4 linked regions of the Drosophila melanogaster genome follow. The protein of the gene in region 1 purifies or fractionates together with the protein of each later gene. This does not show direct contact. Each region holds a gene or a part of one and is shown on either strand. Other genes may lie near its edges. The genes, in order: dco, Bdbt, Clk and tim.

Region 1 (10,612 bases):
GGAAATATTTTGCGAGCAAGAAAAGCAGCAAGGCGCAGAGTCAGGAAATATGCAAAAATACAAAAGGGCACTGCAAAAAAATGAGTGATTAAAGTTTTTCAAATATTATTCAAAACCAGTACCAGAGGCAGCTAAGTCTGTCGTCTGATTCGTATTTTTATTTAAAGAATAATATCAAAAACAAGTTTATATTGCGTGTTAAAAAAAAATACAACAAAATTAGGAAATAAATTGTCTTAGTATCCCAATAATGTGGCATACTTTTTTACAGTGTTCTTTGAATGGATCATTTACATACACGCGTCTCGCTCGGTTTTTATTGCTTCGCACCTACATATTTGGTTTACTTTTTTCGTTATTTATTTGTTGGTAGTTGACCATCGGTCGAAATAACGACGATTTTCATTCGTCGGCGATCGCACGTCTTTGCGTGTGTGAGTGGGAAAGATATGCTTTGAATTAGTGTGTGTGTGTGAGCGGTTAAACGAGTTGTTTTCTCGTTTTACTTGTTGTATCTTCAATTGCCTCGTTGGATTGCTTTGTTTTCTCTTTTTCCCAGCCAATGGGAGACAAAGGCGGGTTTTTACGAAGATCTTGAACGATTCACCAATAAATTGAAAATGGAGATTTCTATAGTTGCATAAAAAAAATGCATTCTGGCTAATGTATATAAATACAGCAATGGAAAATTAAAATCGTAGGCAAGTGCAATTAATGTGATTTATTTTGTCTATATTTCATTTTAAATTGCCAGCCCCAATATCGAATCGTTACACTCTTTTCACCCCTTTTTTTGTTATCATTTTCGAGTGATTGCTTATCTACCCTACCCCCACTTAAAAAGAAACACACCTTGGCACATACTCCCAAAAAAAAAAAAACACATTTTCTCATATATGCATACATAACTGGATCTGCTTCCTTTTTTTATGTCATCGTTTCTTGGGTTACACAGCCGGAAAATGCACGATGTGAGGGTAAATGGGGAAAGCGGTTGGGCGGACTAATGGAATTCACACGTGTTTTGCTTTATTCGTATTGCTGCAATAAAAGTATACGTTTCAGGTATTTCGATACATCTGTGTAACATCAAAATTGGCATGCTACCTATAACTGCAAGACATGCCAATGAAATCCATTTTCAATTTCTATTTACACGAGAATTTGGAGCACAAGCCTGTAAAAAGAGTTAACAACTTTTCTTAAGAACATTGCAAATTAAGACATAAATTTTATTTACATATTATTGAGTTATCAAATTTGTATATTAGTATAAATATCATTTCAGAATGATTTTTTTTTTTTTGTATTGTTTATTGTATTCTCTTTGAAAATAAAATTAAGCAGATGGGCCTTTGAATGCATAATTCAAAAACTTTCAATAACTTTAGATATTTTCAATTGCATTTCTGAAATAAGGCGCCACCTTTTGTTTCGGGCGCCACCTGGATACCACTTTCGCCAACTCATCCGCTAGGTGGCGCAGCTCAAAAATATTTTTCGTCCATCTGGCAGCACTGGGTCTATGTAAGAACTAGTGTGCCCATATAACAAAAACAGCGTTGTCAACTTGGCTATTTCACAGCTTTCCAGTTACTCGAACTTTGAACTTATGGCTAGCTGCAAGGATATAATTTCGTTTTTCTTTTGATTTTCCAATACTCTTGCGCTATTTTCTTAATGTGGTACTTCGAAACCAACTTTGGACTATCTTAACTTAGTATATGAATCACAGTTTTTCACAATTACATATCTTCTAGACATTCGCTGAGGAGTAAATACCAGATGGTAATTTTCTTCATTATCGGCGCGGTCACACTGCGAATATCAAGATGGCGTAAATTTGTAAAAAATCGTCGAAATCTATGTGAAATAGCCAGAAAAATTGAAACGAAAGCGCAGCGTTGATGCAAAACGTAAGTGGTCAGTAGCGTTTCGGATCGACAGACCCGTTTGCGAGCGAAAAAGCGGCGGTTACCACGCGCAGGAAAACTCGAATTTCCCAACAGCATTTCAGTGCTCATTGAGAGTGCGAGTGTGTGAGTGAGTGCCCTCGTCTTTGTGTTGGTGTGAAAATGCTGAAGCAGGAGGGATAGCAACGTGCTCGCGGTAGAAACCGTGCGAGTGCGGGCGGGACGACTAGTGTGCACGAATCTATTGCCAGGGCAAACGACTCGCATAAGTTTGGTTTTTTTAATAAGAGTCCGAGTTCCGTTTGGTTTCGTTTAATTTTCTCGAGTTGATTGGCAACAAGATGCTAATCAATGTGGCCATAAAATCAGAGAAGAACAGCATAACCGACTCGAAGATAAACGATAAAAATAACTGAAATATGGCAGCAATGCAGTATTATTAAAATTATTGCATAAAATGCGCTTGCGTGTGGCCCCAAAAAGTGCGACTGTGTGCGTGTGTTTGTGTGCGACTGTGGCAACTACAACAAAAACAACGTCTGGGCTCTAAAACAAAGAAAATGAAAATTATTGTGGCAGAATCAATCCAATTAAAAAATTCGATTTCGATTTCAGTCGAATTAGAAGAAGGAAAAGCAGCGTCGCCAGCAGAGGAAGTGGGCAAAGCGGAATAGGAAACAAGGAATATAAGAAAAACAAGCCACGGTAAGTGCGGAATTTGTTCCACTGTGCGTTCAAGTTTCCCTTCTCCACCCGCTATCGGCTGCTCCTTATCAGCCCCGTTATTCGCAGTGCATTCGTGGAGTGCCGTTAGTTTTCGGAGGCCATTAGCGTTTGACAATTAATTGCAAGTTTCCTTCCCCTTCTGAGGTTTCCCCGTTGGTTTTGCTCTGGTTTTTGGTTTTTCCATTTGCTCTTCCCTGTTTACTTAAGCTTTTTACTTTTGTGGCGCCTGCTGGAACAACTGTTTTTTGTATCTTCTTTGTTCTCCAGTGCGTTTTTTTGCGGAAGCTTTTCGGCAGCCGCCAACGCAACGTGCAGCTGTTTTGCAATTGTAATCAATTCGTGTTTACCCGCTGGTCCGAAACAACTGCTGGATACCCTGGGAAATATTTAGTTACCAATAGGAAAGACCGCGTTTTCCCTGCTAGCCTTCCAGTAAACAAATTAAAGCTCCTAAAATTAATACCACATTTCAATTTGACTTACAGTGCTTATACAGTGATTTCTTTCTGTGTAGAACATGGGAGATACAAATAAAAAACGGTACATTTCGGTTAAATAAATCAAAGCCAAGGCGAAAACAACAACAAACACAGGCAGGTTTTGAGGTTAGAACCGCAGAGTGAGTGATAAAGAGTCGGGAAAAGGAGGAGAGAGAGAGAGAGAGAAAGAGAGAGAGCGATCGAAATGCGTGAGCGGTAAAAGAAAGCGCACAGAATGTGGGAAAGAGGAGTGGGAAGGGGTTAGTGAGTGAGAGCCGCCGAAAACAATTAAACTAAATTTTTGTGATATTTGACCGGCAAGTGAAAACTTTCGGCTTGTTGCTTCGTTTTCTGACTTCCATGCGCTTTATCTTCGCTATTTGTTTGTGCTTTCCACCACTGAAAGTGTCATTTAAGTGGCATTTTCACAGTCGCTGCGTTTTATTTTACTTCTCTCCCTTTTGTCGCCGATTGTTTACTCCACGCATACACAAACACACGTCTCTTTTATCTATTTGTTGTTAATCTCTTCGTTGTCTTTTCCTGATTGCTGATTCACCTCCATGTTTCTGGTGTCGTCACGTAAAAAATACACTTGAAAAAAAGAATTATATCTATTCAAGGATGTAAAAGCACTACGGCACATTTGCTTTATTTTATAATAGTACAATATAATATTAAAATGACTAAAACAATAATGTGACGAATGTCAAAAAGTAGTGCTATTTTGCTCTGTGCATATAAATTATCGTTACTCATCACTTATTAAATCTGTTGTTTTCCCCATTCGTAATCAATACACACAGCCGAATGCAATGACGCACTCACTCTTAAATATAAATATACGAGATAAACTTTTACTTTGTGCGAGGTTCGGGTTCTTATCATTTTTGCCCACTGTGCATTTGCATTTCGAATTGCTTTTGGTACGCTTTTCTCTGCTATTTTTGTGTTGTCAACGTAAGCCAAGCTTACTTCTCTCCCGCTCTCTCTCTCTTGTTTTATTCTTAGCTAACGGTTTTCTATTTTCGATATCGATTGTTGCCGTGCGTTGTTTTCATGTCTGTGTGCCACAATCCTTATCACCACAAACAAAAGCGAATTCTGCACGTTTTTCGGGCTTACGCTGCAGATGCGATAAAAACAGGGGATTACTCTCTATATATAAGTGATCGCGAGACGGGTCGAATTTCGATTAACCATGTTGAGGATCTAAAAAAAAATTAACTTAGTACCTCCTATTACAGAACCCTTCGAATACAAAGCCATAAGCGACTGCCTTGAACAAATCGGAACAAGAAGAAGAAAGGAGCTCAGACGAAAGGACAGTGCCAGGTGAGAAAAGTGGAGAAGTGTTGGAAAATACTCACGAAGCTCCGTTAGCTCTCAAAATTAGACTTTTAGCAAACTGTACAAAACAGCAGGGTTGTCATCACGTGTCACAATATAGTGTCAGAAGAATCAAAAGTTGTAGCAAACAAAATCCGACGAATATTTTATCACTATCGCTAACAAGGCGTTCGATATTGTGTTGTTGCTTGCAAATAATCTCTTCTAATAATATCACACATTGTTGCTAGTGGTCAATAGCCGAATTTTCGAAGTCACTTGATTCATATTTACTCGTAAAAACCTGTGACGCCGCTGCTATTTCTATGATTAGTCAAAGCAACTAAGAATACTACGAATATTTACATTCTGATCGAATTCAACAATTTGCCTGCATCGTAGCAACCTTTCAATATCCTTTCGCGATTACAAAGTAAAAGTTTTAGTCCTTGGCGTAGATATTTAAATCTGTATAATATTTTAAGCGCAGCTAATCTGAACTGGGATCGATCAATTCGTGTAGCGTGTAGTATTATGAGTAAGAAAAGCGTACAGCCTTCTTTTCGAGGCAATGTGTTGTAAAATTAAAACTAAATTTCAATTCTCCGGTCCCGCAGAAAGGCAACGCAAATCCGAGGAACCCGAGGAGTCCGAACTCTACCACACAGAAACCCACAGAAACAGACGTAACAAAATGGAGCTGCGCGTGGGTAACAAATATCGCCTGGGCCGCAAGATAGGATCGGGATCGTTCGGCGACATCTACCTGGGCACCACGATCAACACTGGCGAGGAGGTGGCCATCAAGCTGGAGTGCATCCGCACCAAACACCCCCAGCTGCACATCGAGTCAAAGTTCTACAAGACGATGCAGGGTGGCATAGGCATACCCCGCATAATCTGGTGCGGCAGCGAGGGCGACTACAATGTGATGGTGATGGAGCTACTCGGACCCTCGCTGGAGGACCTCTTCAACTTTTGTTCACGCCGCTTTTCGTTGAAGACGGTTCTGCTGCTGGCGGACCAGATGATCTCCCGCATCGATTACATACACTCGCGGGACTTCATCCATCGCGACATCAAGCCGGATAACTTCCTCATGGGTCTTGGCAAAAAGGGCAACCTGGTGTACATCATTGACTTTGGCCTGGCCAAGAAATTCCGCGATGCCCGGTCGCTGAAGCACATTCCCTATCGGGAAAACAAGAACCTCACGGGCACTGCCCGCTATGCCTCCATCAACACACATTTGGGCATTGAGCAATCGCGTCGTGACGACCTGGAGTCCCTGGGCTACGTCCTAATGTACTTCAATCTGGGCGCCTTGCCCTGGCAGGGCTTAAAGGCAGCCAACAAGAGGCAAAAGTACGAGAGGATCTCGGAGAAGAAGCTGTCCACCTCGATTGTGGTGCTGTGCAAGGGCTTCCCCAGCGAGTTCGTCAACTATCTGAACTTCTGTCGCCAGATGCATTTCGACCAGCGTCCCGATTACTGCCACCTGCGCAAACTCTTCCGCAACTTGTTCCACCGTTTGGGCTTCACTTACGACTATGTGTTTGACTGGAACCTGCTTAAGTTTGGCGGACCTCGCAATCCCCAGGCGATTCAGCAGGCGCAGGACGGAGCGGACGGCCAGGCGGGTCATGATGCGGTGGCCGCAGCAGCGGCGGTGGCAGCAGCGGCAGCCGCCTCCTCGCATCAACAACAGCAGCACAAGGTCAATGCGGCGCTGGGTGGCGGAGGAGGCAGTGCAGCGCAACAGCAACTCCAGGGCGGCCAAACGCTGGCGATGCTGGGCGGCAATGGAGGCGGTAACGGCAGCCAACTGATCGGCGGCAACGGACTCAACATGGACGACTCGATGGCGGCCACCAACTCGTCGAGACCGCCGTACGACACGCCGGAGCGTCGGCCTTCGATACGGATGCGGCAGGGAGGCGGTGGTGGCGGCGGTGGAGTGGGCGTAGGCGGTATGCCGAGCGGCGGAGGGGGCGGTGGCGTGGGGAACGCCAAATAATATTTTATCGTTTAGGTTGCGACGCTGGACACGACACAGTAGACAAACAACAACAGAACTCAACAAACTATACATGTAGTATATATAGTTATATATACCTAATATATATAATACTTGCTTTATATATGCGGTAAAACACGTTGAATGTATCCAAGCGGCAGGATGACCAGGTCCCTGCCAGAAACGGAGGACAAGAGCAGTGAGAGAAGAAGAGCAGAGCATAGCAAAGCGCAGCGCTTTTCTTTTTTTGTGTGTACATTTTCGTTTGTTTTTTGACATTTTGGTTTCTGCTCCCAGATGTTAGAACGTTGAGCGCGCTTATTATTAATTAACTAGCCTATGATTAATTTAATTTATACTATTAGAACATAAACGATTGCAACCTGGCTGCAAGAAACTGCAACAAACCGCACTGTTCAATTGATTTGAGATCCCTGCCTGAAGATTGGCCAATAGATCGGCGGTTGATTAGGGGTCCGCGGAAGGGTTTGGGAGGAGGGTTAGCAGGACACGCAGGCATTTAATTCTGTTTTGCATTTGACTATTTGCTCTTGGCCGGCTCAACTTTTTCTTTGTTAACTTGAAGTCCCAGACCAAATCAGGCAGAACATGCAGAACCGATCATGAACACATAATAACTCGATTGTAAGTGTAATATTTGTGTAAAAGAAACAAAGGACACCGCGTTCAGCGAGTGTCCCTAACCCTAGACTATAGGCTCTAGCTCTAGCGAATCCAATCCATACAAAAGCATATGCCACACAGCAAGGCACCCACATTGTAACCTAAGTTGATGGTAAAATGATTGCGATTACCACGTGCAGTTCTCTAGCTTTAAGCAACGCTCTGACTTATAAGGCCCTCCTATGTTATATTATGTAACCTTCTGTACCGCCTACTCCCCTATCTATATATATATATTTATATATATATATATATATATATATATATATATATATATATATATATATATATATATATATATATACTTTCGTGGTCTGCACTTTGCTGCCTGTGTTCATATATATCTTTCCGATTTTTAAACACTTAAGCGCGCATTTCCCGAGCGGTGGGCAAATGGGATGCGAGATGTGGGAGCTGGGAGTTGGGGCAGCCCTTTGTTTACGCAACAAAATCATGTAACTAAGATAGAGAGCATATAAATTGCGTTAGACATACACAACAAAACAATTGCATTAACGTTTCGATTTAACAATGTAAGTAATGGCCCTGCGGAGGAAAGTTACACAACGCTAGCTAATAAACTATAGCTATAATATGAAATTTGTTTATAAGTAATACCAAACCGTAAAATAAAAAAGGAAAATGCAAAAAAAAAACTTAAATTCTAAATGCGCCAAGAGATAATGAATGGGTAAAAATATGAATATACATTAATATAAACTATATCTTATGAGAACACGTAAACATGTAAACCCCACAGCGATCGGCTGGCTAAGAACTAACAAATCAAAGAAATGCAAAACACAAATCGGATCACTGAACGCAGAAGCCACTAAAACTTAAATAAAAGTACATTACGTGATATTTCTTACAAATTGTTTTGTTTTCTAATCGGTTTGTTTCAGTCATTTTACTTTTATTTTTCGAACACAACTCCATTCGAAGCGCACGCCTTGCAAACGACCAACCTTGTAAACACGACCATATAGCGCATTCAGATTAGGGGATCCGCGACCGTGGAGAAGCCCCAATCCTCCTCCCCAAACCGAGAATTGAGAACCTAGTGATGAGTGTACATAAGAATAATATCCGAACCCCAAAAGTATAAAATTAAAATATATACATATGTGTGATTTTCCTCCTAGCATACAGAGTACTAAACCTAAACCATTAGCATTTTATTGATAGAAAAGAAACGAAATCGAAGCCCGACAAACTGATTCATAGCGATTATGAGCCACTAGAAATGGAGAACTAAATGATCTTGTATGAGCGAGCAGTCCATTCAGCATAAGCGAAATAGAGAAACTAACAAATTGAGAACATAGTAATTTCGAAGGTTTTGTATAATTAACTGTATATGTATATTGAGAATAGAATTTTGAACTAATAACTAATTATACTAATTGGATCGAGTTCGAGTGTATCATGGGCGATATGAGAGAAAATCATTAAAAATAAACCACCAGTGATATGGAATACAAAATAACCACAAACGAAATCGAAATCGAAATCGAAGCGGTTCATGAAACATTTCAAAAGTACGTTGGATCGGAATTCGACGGATGTATCGATAAGTGCACGATAAGGCCACATTTATGTAATTAGCAAGTATTTCGAATTAAACCGAACATGGAATATGTATGTGTGAACAGAATAAAAGCAGCTACTAAATAAGCCACACCACCATTCACAATAACAATTACGAACGAGGCATTAAAAAGCTTAAACAATAATAACACGACTCATCAGATTTGCTTATTGTGTTGTCAAACAGAAGTTGGGGGAAATTGTGGAGCTAAATTCCACCGTAAATGAAGGTTTCTTAAGTGAAGGATTTGAATATTCGATAATCTGGCAACGCCAATATACAAAAACAACCAGCCCTGGTCGAACAATCTGGCTACTCTACCGGTCAGCTGTTTTGCGTCTTTTTCGTGCTTGCGCTTTAAGGTCACTCTGAGCACGTCTTATTTTTGTTGGGTTGGCCCTGTAGTTTTTCACCGAAAAGGGTAAGGCCGAAATAAACAGATCGAAGCGATGCATGAGCTTGCGAAGACTTGACACCGATTAACCAATTGCCGATATTCCAGGTTTTGCTCCACGAACAGCAGCTAGAGGAACTTCAAAGATGGGAGCCCGACAGTCTCAATCCCGCGAGCCCCGAACCGTTTCAATGGAAAACCCAACTCCTGCCGGCGTTATTGATATATCCGACGATGTGGTCAAGCGACTGAAGGCGGGAATATCCCAGCAGGGTAAGCAATCCAATGGCATTGTGGAGTTATATCCGGAAATGACCATTTCACTCTGCTCGGTGTTATGCAACAATTGTCAAAACGGGCAAATGTTTACGCCAAACACAGTGGAAACTCGTTAACGAGAACAGCAGCAAGTTGTAGAGAGTGGCTCTTCTATCTTGTTCACAAAAAAAAAACGCACTTGAAAGGGTGTAGTTTTGGTTTCATTGGCTAGTTTCCATTCCTATTTGTATGTTTTTTTCATTAAACTATTGATTTATATCTTGTCCAATTCAGCTCGTGAGCACGCAGCCGCTGCGGAGGAATCGAAACCAGTGCCCAAGCCAACGACGAAGGCTGCCGCCAAGCCAGCCGCATCCTCGCCAGCTGCTTCTCCTGCTCCGAAAGTATCCTCCTATCCCGCTGCAGTGCCCATTTACGTCCAGGGAGGAGGACACACCATTAGCGCGGCCGATGTGCAGCGCCAGATGAACCAGGAGCTAATCAAGAATGACGAGCTGTGGAAGGAGCGCATGGCGAAGCTGGAGGAGAACCTCAAGAAGACCAACACCATCCTGGAGAAGGAGTACGCCAATGCTGTAGAAAATGTGCACAAGCGATTCGTCAGCACCGCGTCGTCGCACAAAGTGCCTCCCTGCCAGGACCTGAAATCCCAGCTGCTTGCCTGCTACCGCGCGCATCCCGGGGAGACCTTGAAGTGCATTGAGGAGGTGGCCCAATTCCGACAGTGCATCGATCTTCATCGCGTCCAGAAGCTGGATGCGGAACCAGAGTCGTCGAAAGTGACCTCCAAGGCCACCGTTCCTGCCAAGGCGGCCTAGGATCCTGGCAAATCCTTTTGTCCTAATTTGTTGACTTTTCTTTGAGGCCCCTTATGGGTTTTGTATAAACGATTGAGCGATCGATGGGGATGTACTCAAAACTTAAGCAAAAGTGTCATTGCGAGCGATAGTAAACTAACTTAAATGAATCAATCCATCGACGTTTTTATGGCCGGGATATTCTATTCAAGTTTACCATGACAAAAATAAAAAACATTGCATATTTTTCAGTGTATCTATTTGTTAAGTTGCAACGATCACTCCTCCATCTCGCTCACTCTCTCATTCAACGAAGCCATCCGTACGTCTATAAACTTTAATAACAATTAATATATTTAAAACAACATTAATTACAGCCCGCGACCGCGCAAAATAGCCGCAG
Region 2 (6,146 bases), 9.9 Mb from region 1:
GTGTTTGCTATGTTAAGTGTGATTAAATAAATATAATTTAAATAAAACAGAAGTGCTTTCAATTGGGCGGAAAATCGAAATTTAAAATGGGATTAGAGTGACCAAAGGCAGACGTCGGAGTGGGTGTTTGGTATTTTCCGCGCGAGCAGCCACACTGATCCATACACGTGCGGGAGAAAAGTGAACAAAAACATTGAAACATGGGCGGTAAGAAGAAAGTGCATCCGAAGACGCGCACGGCGGCCTTCAAGGCCAGCGAGCCGAGCGAGATCGTGGAGGCGCCGCACTCCTTCGTCATCCATCGCGGCCTCGCCTGTCCGTACATCACGGACCTCACCCTGGACTTCCGCCGCATTATGGAGCCCTTTACGGCCAGCAATCTGCGCGAGAAGCGGATGAACCGCATCAAGGACTTTGTCAGCCTGAGCAGCTTCTTCCACGTCTCGCACATGGGCATCTTCAACAAGGCCTCCACGCAGCTGTCCTTCAAAGTGGTCCGCTTGCCGCGCGGTCCTTCCCTGACTTTCAAGGTTTGTTTGTTTCATCGCTTAGTTTATACTGGATATTTTACCGCGAAGTTATTCTCTGTCAGGTTCACCAGTTCACCCTGGCCAGAGATGTGATCTCGCTAAGCAAAAAGCAGATGATTGACAACGATCACTTCAAGCACGCTCCGCTCGTCATCATGAACAACTTCAGTGGCGATGGCAAGCACCTTAAGCTGATGGCCACCACGTTCCAAAACATGTTCCCCTCAATTAACTTGGCCACGGTTAATATCGGCACCATTCGTCGCTGCGTCCTGTTCTCCTACAATCCGGACACGAAGCTGGTCGAGATGCGGCACTACTCCGTGCAGGTGGTGCCGGTTGGCTTAAAGCGGGCGGTCCAGAAAATCGTCAAAGGAACGGTACCCAATCTGGGCAAGTGCAACGAAGTCGTGGACTTTGTGACCAAGTAGGAAATGACCGTTTGTTCTCATTCCATCAAATAATCATAATATTGATTTTCAGGGACGGCTATGCCTCCGAATCAGAGGCCGAAGATGATGAGCAATCACATGTGGTGCTGGCACAGACTCTTAAAAGCAAGGGCAACTTGGAGGACAAAAAGAGCTCCATAAAGCTACACGAGATCGGACCTCGACTAACCATGCAGCTCATCAAAATAGAAGAGGGCCTTCTGACGGGCGAAGTACTGTATCACGACCATGTGGTCAAGACAGAGGACGAAAAGGAAACCCTGCGCAAGCTGGTCGAAAAGAAGCGAAAGCAGAAGGAGCAGCGCAAGAAGGAGCAGGCAGAGAACCGTGCCCGCAACTTGAAGCTTAAGAAGGATGAAAAATGGGCTGCCAAGAGGGCGGCAGAGGGACGGACTGACAGCGATCCCGAGGATGATGCAGAGTACTACAAGGAGGAAGTCGGCGAGGAACCAGACGAAGGTGAGTTGTGCTACATGCTGCGTAGAATATAAACTAATGTTTCCTTTGCAGAACTGTTCAAAATGGAAGCGAAGTCCTCCCGAAAGCGGCCTAGTTTGGGCGGCGGAATGAAATACAAGAACAAGCGCGCTAAACTGGATACCAAGGACAAGAATGACAAATCTGAGCGCACGGACAAGTACGATCGTAAGGACAAGTTCGATCGCAAGGACAAGAAGGACAAATTCGACCCCAAGAACAGGAGAGCCAAGTTCGATCCCAAAAACAAGCGCGCCAAGTTTGACCACAGAAAGAGTAGAAAATCAAAGTAGTACATTTAACATAAGCTATTTTATAAAGACCATTGGTTAACACGACATCGCAATGTTATCAATGGGAACTAACTAAACATACGTTGCACCACCTCCTTGTAATGGGCCTTGCTATCCTTCCAGCTAACAGCGATGTTGTCGCGCAGCTTGCTGAACTCTCGCTTCTCCTCGTAGTTGGGCATTCGCTCGATGGTGGCTTGCGCCTTGGCGAACTCCTTCAGGTGATAGTAGGCGAGTGCACGCCGGTAGATGCTCTTCTCGCTGGGACTCTCCTCCGTCTCCACAAACTGCGTGTGGTAGATTACATGCTCATAGCGTTTCTCCTGCAGCAAACAGGCGGCCAGGTTGGTCTGTATCTGAATAAAGAGCTCCTCCACCGCCTGGCCGTTGATGCCATTGGTCTTTTTGGTCAGTTTATCGAAGGGTTTGTAGGTGATCAGCAACTTTGCGGCACGCACAAAGTAATCAAAGGCGAATTTCGGGAACGTCTTAAAGGTGGCCACGCCGCTTTCCTTGAGACGTAGTGCCACCTCATAGATCTCTGCAGCGCTTAGCTTCTCCACCTGAGTGTTCTTCACAATTTTCTCCAGCTTCAGTTCAAATTCTATTCGTTCGCCGGTTTTGGTCGTGATGCTACAGGCTGCCGTTTCACCCGGCACAAATTGCTGCAGCAGCAGCTCCAAGTAGCAGTCCACTGCGGTCAGGCTGGTGCCCATTTCCAGGCTGTGCTTTTGAGGATACGTAGCGGACTCATCGCTGACCAAATATTTGCTAGGTCGTCCTCCCAAGTTGGTGGCTTTCTTGTTGACACTGAATTCCACCGTACTGATTATCGTGGGCTTGTCCATTTCGGTGAATTGGAGGCCAATTACCTTCTTGGCCAGACCACGGTTCTTGTCCTCCCACTCTGTGCCCACGTACCAGTCCATTTTGGAATATTTGCAAATTGGGAGCTTCGAAATTTAGCAGTAAGCAAAGTTTGCGATTTGGCGATGTGACCAGAAAACCGTCAAAAATGTACCTATCGCGAATTTCACAAAAAATACTTTGTTCTCACTAGTTCATAAATGTAATGCATGGACTACGCATCTATTTGCAAAACAAGTGAGTTAGTCGACTATCAGATACCTTGTACGCAGCTGGTGGGAGTGCGAAGGAGAAATTGGGCAACAATATGAAAATTTTCAGAGCTTAGGAAATACAATAATATGCGGTTATATAATATTATAAAACCGCCCAATTCAATTCTAGTGGTTTTAATCTTTCTATTCCAAAACAAAAATGTTAGCATGCATTTATTGTAACTCATGGCTCTTTAGTAAAACTTTTTATTACCCATTTCCGCTTCACTAAATTTAATCAATTGGGTGAGTCCATTTAAGATAAACAATTTTCTAGCATTTATACACAATTTATTATTATTTCTAGTTATGTTACATATACTAAGCCCATTCGCGCACTAGCAGTTGCTCGGCCATCGTTTAACATGCTGCCCTCTTTCCACTAACAGTTTTACATAATCCGGAGTATGTGTTCATATTTTTGTTAACACTTTTGTTAAAGTAAAACGTTATGTACATACATTAGTTAACGCGGAAGCGGCGTGATCGTGATCCAGATCAAGTATAGCATTGGAACTTAACTTACAAATAGCAATACACATAGTAAAATATCCATTGATCACAATCAACGAACGGCATACATACATATAATTATATTGTTGAAATTGCCTGGGAATTTGCTATTTTCTACATACATCGGTATATCTAAAACCTATAGTTAGCATAGATCAATCAATCAAAGAATCGGTTATATATTGCAGTACAATGGATCCATTTTCAATTCATCTTCGCTCGAAAGATGTGCAACTTCCAGTTGCAGACACTGCTGCGTGTCCTTCTTTACACAATTAACTTTTCAATTAAAATATTTGTATTTCGGTTAACTTAGATTACAATTGCCAATAAGATACTAGGCTTAGATTTACTTTACAATTAACACAAACATTAGGCAAAAGGCGTGTAAAATAGGTTACAAATGTGCAAAACGGCAACGCGCTCTGCCAATTTCAATGATGCAACTCTAACTAACATTTATGCTAAAGACTGATTCTTCTGGCCGCGCTGAAGATTCCTGCTGCGATTCTTGAGGCGGCAGCTGCCTAAACGCGATACTTGTGTATTTGAGCTAAAGAAACACTTAAAATAACGCCCAATCGATCGATCCACTGATCCGAAGGGCGATTCAAAGACTGACCCTCGATTAGTATTACAGCGCCTACATAAACTTATATATAATTTTACTTTTTCTGTCCTTCCGTTTTTGCATCTTTCATTTTTGTTTCATTCGTACACGACAAACCTAACAGCCAGTTTTGCGAAATATCTGCATAAATGGTATACTCCTGCATTTATTGTTTGTTTGCTTTTATAACTTCATTTAATTCATATTATGTGGTTGTGTTTCGTGTGTGTGTGTGTGTGTGGATGTAGTGTGTAAAATAGACGCTTAGAGATCGCTGTATCTTGGGTTCAACATCGTTTTTTGTTTAAACAAGTCTGCTGTGTGTATGTATATGCTGCTGGTTAACGACCATTCACTCATTATTCATCATAATCATTAATATTCTCAACATCTATATCGAAATCCAGGTCATCCGATTCGGGATCCGAACCGGAACCGGTGACGGATCCCGAACCACCAGCATCCCGGTGCCTAACATATCCCCCCATAAACGCGCCAGCATCGTTTCTAGAATCCTCCTCCTCAAAATCATCCTCGTCGTCCTCGTCCGCATCGTCGTCCTCCTCTCCTTCGCTCGAGGATTGTAGATGTAACTCGCGCAGCTGCCGTTGCACAAAATGTTAATGTTCCATCAAGGCCGCTATAGCAACAAGCACAATGGAAATTGAGAAAACAAAACGAAATCGTTATGCATAATTCAAGAGATCAATGGGGTGAAAGTTGGCTTCTCTTACGTGACGGTGTGCGTCCGGTCTTGTTCTCATTGGGTGTGAAATTTAGAAAGTCCCAAATCAAAATTGTATCATCATGCGAGCTGCTAACAATCTGGAACTCATCGAATTGCAAACGAAATACGCGACCAGTATGTTCCTAAAAGGGTTCACCATCGAGATTAGACAAATGCTACTACGGACTGGCCGAATGACTCACCACAAGGGTATTCAGACAGAGAGTATTGGAGGCTGCTCTTGGATCCAGGGCGGCGACCAAATCCCAAACCTTGATCTTGCCATCGTAGGCACCGCTAACGATTCGTTTCGTATCGAAACGAATGCAGCGAACCAATTCCTCATGGCCCTCCAGGACACGTAAACAGGCACCGCACTCAATGTCCCACAGTCTGAAAAAAAGAAAATAAAATTCAAATTTGTTATATTAGATTGTTGTAGACAAAGTAAAAGAAAAGAAAATGATCTCTTTATGCAGTTTAAAATGATAGGAAAACTTAATATAATATTTATGATATATAAATATATACAAAAACGAACAGTTCATTAATATTCAGATACTAACAAAATGTAAGGAAATACGCGTTAATTAAAGCTACTATCTGTGATACGGCAGACGGAGTTAATTCCCACTACTAATCGCAACATTCACGCAGAAATTATCTACACCCATCATTAATCACATCAGCGCCGGAAAGTCGGTTGGTTAAGTTCACACGCCTCACCTTATGGAATTGTCTGAGCTGCCGCTGACCACCAGGCGATCTCTGTACTGTAGGCAGGCGATGCCACGCTTGTGGCCATTCAAGGTGCGCACGAATTCACAGCTAGATGTGGACCAGACCTTGATGGTGCGATCCCCGCTGGCGGACACGATGTACTTCTCATCAAAGTCCACCACATTGACGGCGGCACGGTGACCGACAAGGACGCGCCGCAGCGTAATCTCGCTGGGTGAGGTCATGTCCCAGACGGCGATGGAGCGATCCTTGGAGCAGGTAACCATCATGCCATTGTTAAAGCGCAAGTGCAGCACCGCCTCGCAGTGGTGGATAAGGGTGTTGACCATCTCGCCGGTATTGACGTCCCACACGCGGACGGTGGAGTCGCTGGAGCCACTGATGATCACCTTGTCGTCATACTGCAGGCACAGCACCGATCCAGTGTGGCCCATTAGGGTCTGCAATTCGGCGGGCAGTGTGTTAGTAATCAGAATCTTATGGATTGATTATGTCGAATGCTACCTTAACGCACTGCAAATCCGTGCGATCCCAGATCTTGATGGTGTTGTCCCTCAGTCCGGAGACAATCTTGCCGTCATCGTACTGCAGACAATAGACACCCTTCGAGTTCTCGGACCGGCAGTTGATGCGGCGCAGCATGTGGCGGCCAGTCCGCCAGTTGTTCTCTATGCTGTCAATG
Region 3 (7,603 bases), on another chromosome or scaffold:
TACAAAATGCGTTCACTGAATGCCATAACAACCACTGCTCGGTGGTTGGAGGAAGGTGGTTGCACGGAATGGGTGGGTTTGCTTAATCGAGGAGTGTGAGTGGGGCAGCTGCCAGCCAATTGCCTGGCTGCAGCGGGAATTTGAGTGCGGATGCTGGGTCTGTTTTTCAGCTAAAAATAAGCTGACATACACGCTTGCGATTGCATAAGGCTCCGCATTTGCCTGACTGTCTATTGATTTCTTTTTGAATTCCACGCTTTTCAATCATTTCCTGCACCTTAAGCCATCCTCCTTAACACACGCAAAATTATTCACTGTTAATTGACGGTCCAGCATTTAAGGGGCTTCGGCGAAAAGCAATTTCTTGCCTAACAACAACTTGAAAAGTTTTCAGCAAATGTCAAAGGTTCTGCAAGCCTGTTAAATGCATTCGACCAGTTGGATGGGGTTAAGACTGGATTTCCTGCAAGTCGGTGACGTTCAAGCTGGAACTCATTTAAAGTTGGCGCATTGACGAAAAATCTGTGTTTAATTAAAATGTGCAAAGCAGCTTAAAATTACCCAGCTCTACATCTGTCGTGCCAGTTGTAAATAATCCGTTTACCTCCGTTTGACCAATGGACCCAAAGCGCAGCTCATAATTTCCCACATGCCTACATGTATGGGTTGGAGAGCATTTTAAATACACATCAAAGGCCGAAAAGCGTCCCGTTCCTTTTTGGCCAAGTGTTGCTGGTTAACCGTAAGTAGCTGTTGGCCCAGACCCAGACTTCAAATGCTGCCAGATAATTGCCAATGACTCGCTTAATGGTTCGTGTTGCAATTAGTGCGGTCGGTTTGGTTTGTCGCAAAGTGCAAAAAAGCAGTCGAGATAAGGTTTAAGATGGAGACATATAGAGAGGGTGTCAGGTATTATTATTCAGTAAGCTAGCTTTGCCCCGAGGAATGTGGTCCAATTACAACTCAATTATAAACTCTGGAATTATTGGGTTAAAAAAAAAAAATATACGTTGCCTCAATACAGCTTAAATAATCTTTAAGACGTTTACAAAAAGTCCAAACTGCCTAAAATGTTTATAAACCTCAAGTCGAAAGATCAATCAATCACTTTCTAAAATGAAGACTTCATTAATCTCAATCCAATATGATTGTGATCTAAAGTTGCTGAGTTAGTTACTCCTCTTAAAAATCATTAGTGACTTTTAAATAGTTTTGAAGTTTGTTACTTATGAAAATGTAAGTACAATACCTTTCGTTCACCTTAGCTTTTCCAATCTCTTTTAGCCTTCACCCCAGTGAATTGAACTGCACTAAACAGCTTTAAAACCAACATCAAATTCTACACAGTATGTGATATAGAGTATAAGCATCATCTATTACAAATAGTATCTGATGTATCAAACAATTGGCATTGACCACATTGTTGTGGAATAGTGTGCTGTAGTGTGCTGGAATATCTAAATACACATTTGCAATGCGGAAGCCAGTTAGTCGGAGTGGAGAAAAAAGCACAGAAAGCCGGTTGGAGTGTCAGGTTTACTCAACCCAGGCGAAGATCGTTGACTGACCTACTCACGACGTCGGGAGATATAGTGGCCATAACTCTACCCCTCTCTGTAATCGGCAATCGCCCCGTCTCGCTCAATTGCACTCTCTAGTCATTGCTGTCTCGCTTTGGCGCATTGGAAACGGGGAACTAACGTCATTTGATTGCATTTGTAAAGCTTCGCTCAGTTACAGAAATTATCGCATACTATCGATGTGTGGGTTACCTATATATGTGCACCCCATATCTCTCTCTCTCTCTCACTCTCTCTTTCTCTCTCTGTCTCTGGATTTCTTTGTCAGTGAACTTGAGCTTTTGCTTGGCAATGCTAATTGCATTGCGATTACAACATAGTGCCCGTGTGTGAGTGATAATACCCAATACTCATACGACCCGTTGTACAACTTTGCTTCCTCGCCTTCTATTTCTCTTTCCGCAAAACTTGTAATACTTTTCGTCGCGCTCTAGCGTTTGTTGTCTTAAACTTGACTTAATTAAATTGTTCACTATTATTTTATTTTTACCTCTAGTCATTCATTGATTTATTTCGTCGGCGTTCGTTCCCCCTTATTTTACCGAGACGGGATTTAATTACAATCTACCAATTCCGAGTTCATCGTTAATAGTGTTCAAGGGGTATACTTCTATGTGGTTTTCCAGCATGGAGTTGTTGTTCTATAAACAGAACCCTAAACGGATCTTGGATTTTCCTTTCCCTAAACGTTTAACAATCTAATAATAAATTGACGTATCTGAATCATTAGCAGTCTGCTTAAAATCATCAGTTCATCACATAAATCGATCTTTATAATGATTTAATATGTTTAGATTGAAATTGAATAATATTTTCGTTAAGGGGGAAATTTTAAATGAATTCTATTTAGTATCGATTAAATTCCGACTAATTAAAAACTAACTTGATTTCATTTAAGTGGACAAAAACTCACTATACCATTACAAAATTCATTAGGTTAAACTTATTCAGTCCAAAGTTTTGCTCTCTTTAGGTTATTCCTTTTGATATAAATGAAGGGTGTCTAACTTTTAGTCATTAGAAATTTAAGTGCATTTTTCTATAAGTTCTTTTAATTAAAAAACGACCCAGAGGCTTTCCTTAAGTTTTCGTTCTTTGTTTCCAACTACCTCAATATTGTTAAAAAAAAAAAAAAATAGATCTGGAGTAGTTGTCAATCAGTTGCTTATCTCACCGTATCAACAACTAGCCATATTTGCTCTAAGTGAAAATGAAGTATACGCTCTGCAAGCCAGAGCGAAAATGGCCAGAAAGTGCAGCTGACTGCAGATTAAATTAAGTAGCGTTTCGTAATTGTGCCCCATTTATTCGACTAAATGCAAAAACAAGAATCGAAGTTGTATCACTTGTAATGTTTAAAACCTTTTTGCATGTGCCTATAGTTTTTTTAGTTGTCAATTGAAATAAGTTTTACTGAGAGCGTGTGCGACTACCGCATGATCGCACACCACTGCACAAATGCACACGCGTACTCACACCATTGCAGCAGAACACACGCACACAGATAGACTGGCGCACACAGATACTCGGGGCAGTCAAACGCTGACGATGACGTTTCAAAAACTCAAAAAGACGCCACATCCGAGACCTGAGACTTGTCAGCCAACAATAAAAAAAACAAAAAAAAAAAAATTTAAATAAAACAAATGGAAATAGTTGGATTGCAAAGCGACTAGCAAATTACCTAGCTAGTTTCAGCCACTGGAAATTCTTGTAATTAAGCAAAACTTACAAACAATATTATTTATCTTGAATTCACCGGAATGAAAATAGTGTACTGCGTAAAATATCCAATCAATCTTGCTGAATGAAACTAAAACCAATATCTAAAAATATTTTTTAATTTTTATATTTATTTTAATATTGGGTACGAAATCCAACTTTTAGAGTAAACAAACGACACAACTCCATTCAAAATTCGAATAAAGAGTACATTATTAAAATACCTTTCCAAATCTAAAGACATTTTAAAAAAATTATAGTTTTTATTATATGTATGTGGAAAAATCGCTCTCACAGGTAGTTTGTTTTCAATTTTTTTTTGGTTGAATGCACTTTTGTTTTAAGCGAGAAGTATCTTCACTCGTATTCGCTCGTATCTCATCCTTGGGTTTGCCTTATCTTTTTTGGCGCGGCATTTTTCTTCTGTTATTTTTGTCACTGCGGATGTTCTACCTAATGCACTTTTGCTTTTATTATTTTTATTTTTTTCCTCCACTTTTGCTTTGCACACTTCACAATTTTGCCGCAGCTGATTTGTAATTTAATCTTTTGAATCTGGCGCAAAACTTTGGTAATTAGCAGGTAAAGTAGTTAATTTACTTCGAAATTGAATCTTAGCTACATTAGTTTGGATGCACTTGTTCAATTAAATAAAACTTTACTACTTTAGTATTTAACTAAGATCAATTTTTAACTTGTGAAAACTTGTATTTGTGTTTTATTGCAACATCACTGACATATAACTACACTTTTTTATTTGGCTTTTTAAAAACGCCCATTATTATTTAAACTATTTATTTTTATCCATATATTGCCTTTGGCGGCTTATCCACTTTTGTTTTTTCCTCTGCCTTTCACTTTGTTTCTTCAAGAATTATTCCACATTTGTTCCTGTTTTTATGGCACGAGTGTTTTAAAAGTTACATAATAACTTTTCCCGTTCTGCTTTGCGCGTTTTTTTTTTTATACTTCTGCACTTGGTGACATATATACGCCAATATATAGAAAACGATATCCAATAACAAAAACACTTTAATTTCTTTTATGGTAAAAGGTAAAACAAAAAACTTTTTTGGCAATATCAGCAGAAACAAGGAAGAAAGCTGCAATTTAATTAAGCGCAAAGACGGAGACAAACAAAAATATTATTCCCCTTCAAATCCGAAACAGAACCGAAAAGGCGAAAAGTGTGTAATATGCGATCGAGTTACAGGCAGAGACAATATCAACGGCAGACGGCTTGACTTTGCTTCAGATCGGCCAAGTACTTGCGATATAAAACAATAACTGCGCGCTCAAAAAAAAAACCCGGAGAAAATGCGAATAAATCGAAAACCCGAATCGGAAAATTAAAGAGAGAGATCCGCTCGTTGACGCTGCGCTTGCTGGACTCAAACTGAATAAATGCACGAGAATTGCAAGTTCTAAGCTGGCGAAAATAAAAACTACAAACGCAAAAAGCCCGTGGATAAACGAAAAACCGCGAAATGCATCGAAATGTGAGCAGCGAGTCCCCAGAAGCGTTCTCACCGATACAAAGATACGAAACCGAATCGGTCGGGAGAGTCAGTCGGTCTACAAGTCTGTTGTAATGCCTTTTGCCGGCCGGGGCGTATACGCGATATGTGCAAGCATTCCCAGCTCTACCTGACTGACTGACTGATTGAGCACCGCCACTCGGCTATTATTTAATATGCTCTCCACACTCAGAATCCGCCATATCACTCAATTGCACCGATCGTGAACCTGAGTTGAGTCTTTATCTATCGCTCTATCAAACTATCAGCACGCTCAGAGCCACTCTGCTCAGAGGGTCTCTCTCGGATCGGATAGTATAGCTTTTCTATATAGTTTTCTTTCAACCTTTCTGTTTGTTGTCCAATATTCCGCGTGTTTCTGGCATTCCGTCTGGAGATTACAGATATAAGGGTCTCTCGGGGGTCTCGCAGGGGTGATTCAACGGGTTTTGTTTGTCCGCGACTTAAGTTCAAGGTCTGTGGCAGGGGTGAGTTTTTGACTATAGGTCGGCATAGACTGAAACTAGGTAGGTGGTGCAACATACCCTAACTATCTTTTGATCTATCTATACTGCTTCATGTCTATAAACTTACATTAACAGATCATATGTGCATTTCATGCAACGTGAGGCGAACTGAAATATAATTTGAAATAATAAGAGAAGTTAAACATAATTTAAAGTTAAAACTAAACAAACTGTTTTAATATTTAATCATTTAATTTAATGTAAACTTTTACTAATTAAATTGTCTTATAGTATGGAAAGTGATAAAAGAACTTCCAAACTGTCATTTCAGCTTTTGTTAATCCACACAAATAATTTCCAAAGCACTACGGCATTAGCTTTTTAATGCAAACTCATATTTCAATAAATATTTCATATATAAAGTAGTTTTAGTATGAATTCAATAGTGAACCACGACCCTTACCTTTGATTCCTTTGTCGTATTTTATCTTCAAAATCAATTCAATTGGAATTCAGCTCCGAATCTAGCACTACGACCTCACTTTCTGCAAAGGTAGCACAGAAAACTAATAATTCTGATTCTTATTCCATGATTGCCTAATCGCGAACCGCTTGCACCAGAAATTCGATATTTATTAGATGCTTACGTAACATTTCAGCACTCGATTTGCAATTTACAAGATTTTCTCGATTTGATTTGAAAGTTTTATAGGTTTATGCAACGCACAGGATGTATATATGTAGCTATTCAGCAATGCAGAGGTGTAGTCAGAACTACTTTGTTGTCAAACTGAAACTCAATAGTTTTTTTTATCAACCACTTTTATAAGTTAAAAGAAAAACCATAGTTATGTTCCACATTTATTTTATATTTTAATTGTTTTCCTCTTTATTTTACATCATTATTAAATTAAGAAGTACCAGTAAAAAAAATTTAGCACAAAAAACACAGAGAAAATATGTTGTTGATTTGATCTTAAGAATTTTAGAAATATTATAAATTTTTTTTTGTTTCATATAGAATTATGTAATAATTTCTTCATATAAAGTAGACACAAAAATAATGTCAAATTTTGGGATTGTATTGTATTTAGTGTCTAAACGTAAATACACGATGATTTAATTTAGACGTTCGTGTATATTTTGTATAAAATTACATAAATATTTTGTTGACAAAAAATGTTGATTTATTTATTTATTTTGTGTTGAGCTGAAAATTAAATTCGTGTTCTATAACTAGCGTAGAAAATGTACATATAATTTATGGATTATCCGTAAAAAGATATTTACAAAGACAAAGATGTGCCGACTGATAAAGCAAATTTTTGTTTTTAAAATTGATTTGCTTTATAGGGAGAGTTTGAACGATTAAAAAGAATAAACAAAATGAGTATGCGGCTTAGAAGTAGAAGAAATCAAAGACAAAGATGTTTTAGCTAATGTTACAAAGATATATCAAAGCTATCTCTTCAATAGGAATGCGGGCTGAAGATACAGATACGAATACAGAAATAAGCATTTAGCGTATAGCACTTTATATATAGGTTCATATAGGTGAGCATATCATTTAGTTAGCCTAAGCATAATCAAGAGAGAGTAGGGGTGTTATAGAGAGGGACATAGTTCAGAGGGTATACATAGTGAAAGGGTATTAGTCAACAGAAAGGTAATTTCAAATTCTTAACACATTAGTCCACCCATTAACTTTCTTCATAACTAGTTACTAGTTCAGTTTTCGTCTAATTACTCTTGTATATATAGTTTTTAGTTTCGTTTAGGTATATCAAAAAAATATTGCAGATTGTCTTAGAGTTCCAGCCGCTTTATACAAAGTAAATGAAGAGAAGTTTGACATTTTGTAAGAGTTTGTTTTCTTGGCTCTTTCCTATCCGATTTATTTGTAGGTGTACGTTTATTGGCCTTTGACTTGGTATTTTACTAGTAATTTTAAAATTGTTTAATGGTCAAAAATTTGTGTATGTTGTTTGTAGAAACCATGAGTTTAGCTTGTTAGAGATTTTACATTTCATTTCTTGTTTATTTCCTTTCCTTTGCTACTTTTGCTATGGCAAACGTATTTTCAAGACTTGTGGAATGTGGTTGTAGTCGATCTAGGGATATTATTTTAGCATTTATGGATTTTTGGGGCACGGGCTTGAGCCAAAAGCATGTTTTGATTGTTTCACTGGTGATTTCGGGTTTCTTTTCTCTTCGTTTTTGATTTAAACAAATATCTCTGGTTTGCTCTCTAGTTGTTTACACACATTTACAATACACATTACACACACAAAGTTATGGTTAGAGCTAAGGATTATGT
Region 4 (7,700 bases), on another chromosome or scaffold:
TCTCTGCGAGAGAAGCTCTCCAAGATTATTGGACTTAAAACGGATGCGGCTACCCTTAAGATCTGGCGGTATGAGGATCCCGTTCTGGGACCCCGAAAAATTCCCAACTTTGAGGATTACAAAGCAGGAAAGTCTGTACTCGGCGAGGGAAACTTCGTTCTGGATGTGGAGAACAAGAAAGTGAGCCTGGAGCAGGCTGGAAAACTGACCGAAGTGGGAAGGAATCTGATCTATGTGGTGGATTAGGTCAAAACGGCATCACAAGCCAAACTAACTTATTCATAGAATGAAATTAAAATGTTGTAAAACACAAATAATGGCTATTAAAATGTACTGTGAGTTGGTTGTGCCCAATTTAACTTACGATAGATTATGGTATACGATATATTCCTAAGTTAGCTGCTGAACCATTTAAGTTACCTTATGTGACTCCGACTGAACTTGAAACCTTTTACAATGACTGTTTCATGGGGCATTACAAGTGACCCAATTAAACAATTGAATGCTAACTGAAAGATAACGACTTTATTCTGAAACATCGAGGAAACCAAGTGACTTCTTAAATGAGAGTGTGTCCAATGCCACCCCGAAATGAATGTGTTCCGAGCATTTTGTGTGTCAGCTGGTGGATAAGCTGCGCAGTGATGGCACAGCGGGTCTTCTACCCACTGGGTGGCTATCACTAATCCAAGAAAAGCATTCCTATATAAGGTTTTACTCTGCCTTAGGCCATTGAATACCTTCGGTTTATGTTAAACAACCATGTTGGCTCTCCGCTTGTTTGTACTGCTGCAGTGCAGCCTGTTGGTTCTGGCTGGCGTTTGTTTAATACCACAGCCCGTTAAGAGGCAGCGATCGCTTGAGGATGTTATAAAGAATCCCTGGAAGCTATCACCCCGCCTGGATGGCCGTATTGTGGGCGGTCACCGCATCAACATCACCGATGCACCACATCAGGTTTCGCTGCAGACTTCGTCCCATATTTGCGGCGGTTCTATTATATCCGAGGAGTGGATATTGACTGCCGCCCATTGCACATAGTAAGTAAGCCGCTCAAGGAATCTTCTCTAGAGAGTATGCCAAAAATGATTCCTCCTGATTTCGTAGTGGTAAAACGGCAGATCGCCTGAAAGTGCGACTCGGAACCAGCGAATTTGCTCGCAGTGGCCAACTTCTGCGGGTGCAGAAGATCGTGCAGCACGCCCAGTTCAACTACACCAATGTGGACTACGATTTCTCGCTGCTTCAGCTAGCTCATCCCATCAAGTTTGACGAGACCAAAAAGGCGGTCAAGCTGCCCGAGTCTCAGATGAAATACATGGACGGGGAAGCTTGCTTCGTGAGTGGTTGGGGCAACACCCAGAACCTGCTGGAGTCCCGCGAGTGGCTGCGTCAGGTGGAGGTGCCTCTGGTCAATCAGGAGCTTTGCAGCGAGAAGTACAAACAGTACGGCGGCGTCACCGAGCGAATGATCTGTGCTGGATTTCTGGAAGGCGGAAAGGATGCGTGCCAAGGCGATTCCGGCGGTCCGATGGTCAGTGAATCGGGCGAGCTGGTGGGCGTGGTTAGCTGGGGCTACGGTTGCGCTAAGCCCGACTATCCGGGTGTCTACTCAAGAGTAAGTTTCGCACGGGATTGGATCAAGGAGCACAGTGGTGTCTAGATTCGTATATCCTGCACAGTTAACATAGTTTGAAATCAATTTCTTCCTATGCGATTGCTTTGACTAGATGTATTTCAAATACCCGCAATAAAAAATTATCAAACGATGCCAACCAATCCGATGGAACCATTTCATAATGCGCCGCTTCAATAGAAGGATTCGCACACGTTGCCAGCACGCAGCCAGCATTTCAAACACGCGACCCTCCAGGATATCGCACACTTCGCCGGCGCATGTCGCGTTGTTGGAAATGAGTCTACTTGGCCACGTTAAGAGGATGTGTCGGGCTGCACGAGTCCTTGGCCGTTTGTGAGGGATGGAGTGGGCATCGCATCTAATTGTTTTGCTTTTGATTGGGAGGCTTATCAGCCAACTTTCATCGTGACTGTCCACCGTTCATGTGTTACATGCGGCGTATACGCAATTACTTGCATTACGTATACGTAGGGACAAGTTTTTGTGCATTGGCGTGGCTTACTTTGCCGCTGAACGGACTCCGCCATTGTTGTGTTTGCTTAGTGATAAATTAGCTTACAGAAATTAACATCAGGCGTTGCATAATTCAGATGTATGTACTTGCATAGCCTTGGCATTGGCGAAGTGATCGCACAACTTACGTTGAGTGGAAACTTTGGGCGGATCGGCTGAAGTGGTCTAATCAATGCTATGTTCTTACATTGGCACTTTCGTTTTTCTCCATTCACTTTGCAGCAATGGATATATAACTTAAATATTATTTGCAAAAAATAAAAAAATTAATTCATAGTTGAAATGTATTCAATCAAAATCTGCTCCTTTATATTAAAAATATAGTTAGATTGTCACCTTTTACAAAAGTCTAACCATCTAATTAACAGCATTATTAATTTGTTTCTTTTTTTTGTGACAACTAATCTTCTTATTGAAATAATAGAATTTGATAGTCTGGGTTGAATAACATTTTGACGTCAAATCGCCTATTGTGAGTGAGTGACTTCGTAAAATGAGAGTGTCAGTTATTTATTTCTATCGCCCCAGTCCGAGCAAAAGTATTTTCCTAAACCTCCGTTTCCAGTCGATTTACCACCGCGATTCGGTGCCGACGTGCTGCAGCTCGCGCCACCGTGGAAACACTCAAAGTAAATATATACGCTCCCCACAGTATACGCATTCAATGAGCCCGGTGCGTATACGCCGCGTGTGCCCGCGCCTGCAACCAACTGTTGATTCCGTTCCCAAAAGGATTATTCAACGGATCATCTGAGGCACTCAGAGCCGAACAATGTCACCCTGACGAAGCCTACGGCAGAGTCGTTCGAAGGCGGCGTCAAAAACGTTTAACTTTACACTGAAAAAAATATTGGTTTTAATGTGAAACGTCTGTGAGGAATACAGTACAGCAGCAGACAAAATAATATAATATTTATGTATGTAACAAAATATGTCATTGAATATATTATATACATATAAACGTGAGTGTTGTATAATCAAAAAAAAACGTAGTTTTGAAATCATTTATATTAATTATTTTGCACACTAAATATATACATTTATTAAATAAAGTAAAGTAAAGTATTAAAGTAAAGTGAAGTCTCGTTATTGAAGATACCATTTGGTAAAGTGACACACTTTTTTTTTTTGAGTGCACAGAAACGTTCTGACTATTGCTGTTGTTCCCAGACTGTTCTCCGTATTTTCCGGCGCTGGTTATTCATGTTATCGAACATCGTAGTGGCGGTTGGCAAATAAACGTGCGGCACGTTGTGATTACACGTGAGCCGATTTCCCCGGCCGTCCGGCATTGAGTGCGAGCGGGACGGAGCAGCGCGGCGAGAGCTTTCGGCTAGCGTCTTTCGTTCGCACAAACGCCGGCAGCGGCACGTTGGCCCTGTGTGAGTGGGTGTTTCGGTCAGTGTGTGTATCTGTGAGATGCATTTTGTATCTGACTTCGGTGAGCTAGCCGTAACTCAGATCGCATTCAGCATTGTGCGTTCCAAGTAAGCGGTTCGTTGAGCGGTTCGAAGTTTATCAACAAAATAGAAGTTTCGAAAATAAATATCTCTTAAATAAAGAAAATTTAATAAAGATATTTTGCTAAAATAATCTTGAATACTTTTGTGAATTCATGCAATAATATTTATTAATTCACATATCAATAATCTTAAAGAGAGTGCTTACATGACTCACTGGTCTTTCTCTCAGTGTTTAGCCTAGATTGCAATCGAAAAAAGTGCAAATTAATTGCTATTGAAGTTGCATTTTACATAAGCCAACAACGAGTATAAAGAATTTTTTGTGCAGTGTTAACAAAGCAAAGTTCACAAAGTGTTAAATAAAATTGCAAATCCTTAACAAATTTTTCATGAGTGGTTAAAATCTTAATATTACCAAAAAAACTGAATTTACCCTAACAAATATTCTTAAAACTACTTTCAGATATAAAACAAAAATAATTTCATCAGTGTATATAACAGCACTGAAACTATAACACGATCTATTCTGCAAAGAAACCCAAAAAGTGCTCAGAAAAGCTCAATTGCTTAGAAACATAAACAATCAGCTTTAATTGTTGATTGCAATTCGGCTAAAACTAAAACAGTAAAATTGTCTGCGATAGAAAAAATTTAAATAATTGGTAAGAAATATAAACCACTAGTATATTTAACATTACATAGCTTAGACCTGACCTAACACAGTTCGTTATCAGTTGACCCCTGACAAAATTACACTTTAACAAAGCTTTCTAAAAAGTAGCTTTAAGCGGCGACATATTCAAGCAATTAAAGCTTGCACAGAAAGAAAACCCATTTCCACATGAAAACGAAATCACATAATACTGGGAAAATGAAAACAAGTTAAAGGGGCAATTTACGAAGCACAACAATTCTCCGTTACAATTCTTATGTAAAAAGCACGCAGTGAACTGTCAAAAAAGGAGGCTTGGCCTTCCACGGAATTCCTGTCAGAAACAGGATAGCGAAATAAGTACGGGAATCGTCCTGAAACTGACAGATTTCATCCTGGCACACAGATGTTCAGTGGTTTCTGCTCGTTTAGCTAGGATTTTAACGACCCTCAGATGTATTTGCATTGCAAATTCAAATCTTAAATATTTATTCGTGATCTATCTTTGCTTTCCGTTTCAAATGCAAATTCAACCTCGCTTCAATGAATTTCCCCTTTGCGAAAGAATGAAAATTGTTTTCACTCTCCAAGAAAAGTAGATACTCAGCTCGAAATTTCAATGCGCATATCATTTTGTAGTTCTCGCCTTGCGTTTTATGTAAGTTGGGTCTTTGATTTCATAACCAGTCAGCGGAAATGGTATTGGGGTTGCTAGAAACGTTTCACAGATACAAAGATGCTCAGATGATCTATGATTTCGGATGGTGCAAAAATTATGCTCGACCAACAAAATTCGATATTAGTTTCAGTAGAAATATCTAAGTAAAATTTAAAAGAAAAGTATTTTTATTTTTTTTCTCTTAGATATCACTGTTTTCTTATTAATTATATTTTTTAATATTTTCTATAAAATGTCCATAATTTATTGTCCCTCAATTTACACACAATTAAATCTCCCTTCTTAGATATAATTTCCTATTGAGCATTATTACATTTTAAAACAATTTTATAGTAAATCAGCTAGGCCATAAATGGCTTTGTAATTTTAAAATTTTCTCAACTGTTTGCGCTGTTTATTTTCCGCTCTTGGCCATTTAGCGTGCCATTTAACGTGTTCGCCCAAAAGAGGGCAACGAAAACCAATGCAACTAAACTGCATTCGCTTTAATGGCCAAATATAGCACGAAACATTCAAAGTCAGCAGGCTGGAAGCCGCACAAATGCCAAATCCTGCATCCCGATTCATGTCCTATAAATATCGCTACGGGTGGTCGGCTTTTCCGACTGCAGGCTTTGTTCCTCCGGAGTCCCGTAGTCCGTAGTCCGTTTGCGAACCCAGTGGCTTTGTCCTCCAACTGTGTTGTTTACACAATCAGCCCGGATGTCTGCAAGTGAGTCACATGCGGCCACCGGGTGCCGCAGTCGCCTGTTGAGGATTTGCCTCGTTACGTGATGGCTGAAGGTTGGGCTCCCCCCTGTGTGGGGGGGGGGGGTGGTGGTGTTTGCCAATCCAGCCCACTTTTTCACTTTCCGGACTGGCAAGTGTGGCTTCTGGGAACTTTCGGGGCTCGTCTGGTAGGCAGTTTCCTTGATTCGACTCGCAACGGGTGGTAAATGGGAGACGTGCTGTGCGGACACGTGTGTGAGGTGATGTGGAATGGGAGTTGATTCGGGTTTCATCCCCGAGCGGCTGCAATTGCAGCACATTGCATGGACTGCGCCCTTGATGGTCACATGGGTGGCGATTTTGTTTGCGAGTGCAAATATTTATGGGAATCATTTGTGGTTGCGTAATGCCCTGGAAGACGATGGGTTAGTGACCTTAACATATTTTAAGGTGACTGTTACAGCTTACAAAAATGCCATAAATTTTTCACCATTTCACATCTCAGTTTAAATGTGTAATATTATTTAAATTCACCTCTGGTACCACGTTAAGAATATTTAAGTTTTAATAACAATTAAATATACATTTTTGTTTACTTATAGTTACAGATACCGCGCAAATGGCTAAGAAGTACCTCAATGTTCGCAGTCGACAATGAGCAGAGTTAGGCAGCTCCACAATCACATCTGGAATAATCAGAACTTTGATAAAGTGAAATCGGTTATGGACTGGTTACTAGCAACTCCGCAGTTGTACAGCGCGTTCTCCTCCTTGGGTTGCTTGGAGGGCGATACCTATGTGGTCAACCCGAATGCATTGGGTGAGTAATCAATATAGGACTACTACATTAATTAGGTATTTAACTTATTTTCAATCCCCAGCCATTCTGGAGGAGATCAACTACAAGCTCACCTATGAGGACCAAACACTGCGCACCTTTCGACGGGCCATTGGATTTGGCCAGAATGTGAGGTCAGACCTGATACCGCTGCTGGAGAATGCCAAGGATGATGCGGTCCTGGAGTCGGTCATCCGGATACTCGTCAATCTGACGGTGCCGGTGGAGTGCCTCTTCTCCGTGGACGTGATGTACCGCACGGATGTGGGTCGCCACACCATCTTCGAGCTGAACAAGCTGCTGTACACCAGCAAGGAAGCATTTACCGAGGCCAGGAGCACCAAGAGCGTGGTGGAGTACATGAAACACATACTGGAGTCGGACCCTAAGCTGTCGCCGCACAAATGCGATCAAATCAACAACTGTCTGCTGCTGCTGAGAAATATCCTGCACATTCCAGAGACGCATGCCCATTGCGTGATGCCCATGATGCAGTCGATGCCGCATGGCATCTCCATGCAGAACACGATCTTGTGGAATCTCTTCATCCAGAGCATCGACAAGTTACTCCTGTATCTGATGACCTGTCCGCAGAGAGCCTTCTGGGGAGTGACCATGGTGCAACTGATTGCTTTGATCTACAAGGATCAGCATGTGAGCACTCTGCAAAAACTACTTAGCCTCTGGTTCGAAGCCTCTCTGTCGGAGAGCTCTGAGGATAATGAGAGTAATACCTCGCCCCCCAAACAGGGCAGTGGCGATTCCAGCCCCATGCTGACCTCTGATCCTACCTCTGATTCCTCGGACAATGGCAGCAATGGCCGTGGCATGGGCGGTGGCATGCGGGAAGGAACAGCGGCCACTTTGCAGGAGGTGAGCCGCAAGGGTCAGGAGTATCAGAACGCCATGGCCAGAGTGCCAGCGGATAAGCCCGATGGCTCCGAAGAGGCCAGCGATATGACGGGGAACGACAGCGAGCAGCCTGGATCGCCGGAGCAATCGCAGCCCGCCGGCGAGTCCATGGACGATGGAGATTACGAGGACCAGAGACACAGGCAACTGAACGAGCATGGCGAGGAGGATGAAGATGAGGTGAGTTTCTATGACCAGTGCCATTGAAATATATAACAAAATATCGTACTCTTCCAGGACGAAGTGGAGGAGGAAGAGTACCTACAATTGGGCCCAGCCTCGGAGCCCCTAAACTT

The links.
Region 2: the proteins of dco (region 1) and Bdbt purify together in Drosophila melanogaster (affinity purification with western blotting; 3 studies listed by BioGRID, with this or other methods). This does not show direct contact.
Region 3: the proteins of dco (region 1) and Clk purify together in Drosophila melanogaster (affinity purification with western blotting; 2 studies listed by BioGRID). This does not show direct contact.
Region 4: the proteins of dco (region 1) and tim purify together in Drosophila melanogaster (affinity purification with western blotting, with the first as the bait; 2 studies listed by BioGRID). This does not show direct contact.

What each region holds. Positions count from the first base shown.
Region 1 is NT_033777.3:31,052,381-31,062,992, reverse strand, and holds dco (discs overgrown), read left to right. Parts: upstream 1-1,782; 5' UTR 1,783-1,916; exon of another isoform or gene 1,917-2,528; 5' UTR 2,529-2,618; intron 2,619-4,350; exon of another isoform or gene 4,351-4,365; 5' UTR 4,366-4,453; intron 4,454-5,064; 5' UTR 5,065-5,141; coding exon 5,142-6,464; 3' UTR 6,465-8,908; downstream 8,909-10,612. Other genes in the region: Chchd3 (Coiled-coil-helix-coiled-coil-helix domain containing 3), read left to right, coding at 9,280-9,406, 9,686-10,230; Alp4 (alkaline phosphatase 4), read right to left, coding at 10,581-10,612. UniProt on the Drosophila melanogaster protein: Serine/threonine-protein kinase which is involved in the circadian rhythm pathway, viability and planar cell polarity.
Region 2 is NT_033777.3:21,116,104-21,122,249, forward strand, and holds Bdbt (bride of doubletime), read right to left. Parts: upstream 2,754-6,146; 5' UTR 2,682-2,753; coding exon 1,821-2,681; 3' UTR 1,754-1,820; downstream 1-1,753. Other genes in the region: ppan (peter pan), read left to right, coding at 201-530, 593-957, 1,014-1,441, 1,493-1,752; slmb (supernumerary limbs), read right to left, coding at 4,617-4,636, 4,731-4,866, 4,927-5,116, 5,450-5,904, 5,969-6,146. UniProt on the Drosophila melanogaster protein: Functions in planar polarity establishment and circadian rhythms by promoting the activity and localization of dco/dbt.
Region 3 is NT_037436.4:7,770,664-7,778,266, forward strand, and holds the start of Clk (clock), read right to left. Parts: upstream 4,941-7,603; 5' UTR 4,833-4,940; intron 1-4,832. UniProt on the Drosophila melanogaster protein: Circadian regulator that acts as a transcription factor and generates a rhythmic output with a period of about 24 hours. Oscillates in antiphase to the cycling observed for period (PER) and timeless (TIM).
Region 4 is NT_033779.5:3,503,135-3,510,834, reverse strand, and holds the start of tim (timeless), read left to right. Parts: upstream 1-3,616; 5' UTR 3,617-3,639; exon of another isoform or gene 3,640-3,646; intron 3,647-4,078; 5' UTR 4,079-4,277; intron 4,278-6,256; 5' UTR 6,257-6,308; coding exon 6,309-6,474; intron 6,475-6,535; coding exon 6,536-7,584; intron 7,585-7,641; coding exon 7,642-7,700. Other genes in the region: LeuRS (Leucyl-tRNA synthetase), read left to right, coding at 1-246; CG31954 (uncharacterized protein), read left to right, coding at 763-1,040, 1,108-1,663. UniProt on the Drosophila melanogaster protein: Required for the production of circadian rhythms. The biological cycle depends on the rhythmic formation and nuclear localization of the TIM-PER complex. Light induces the degradation of TIM, which promotes elimination of PER.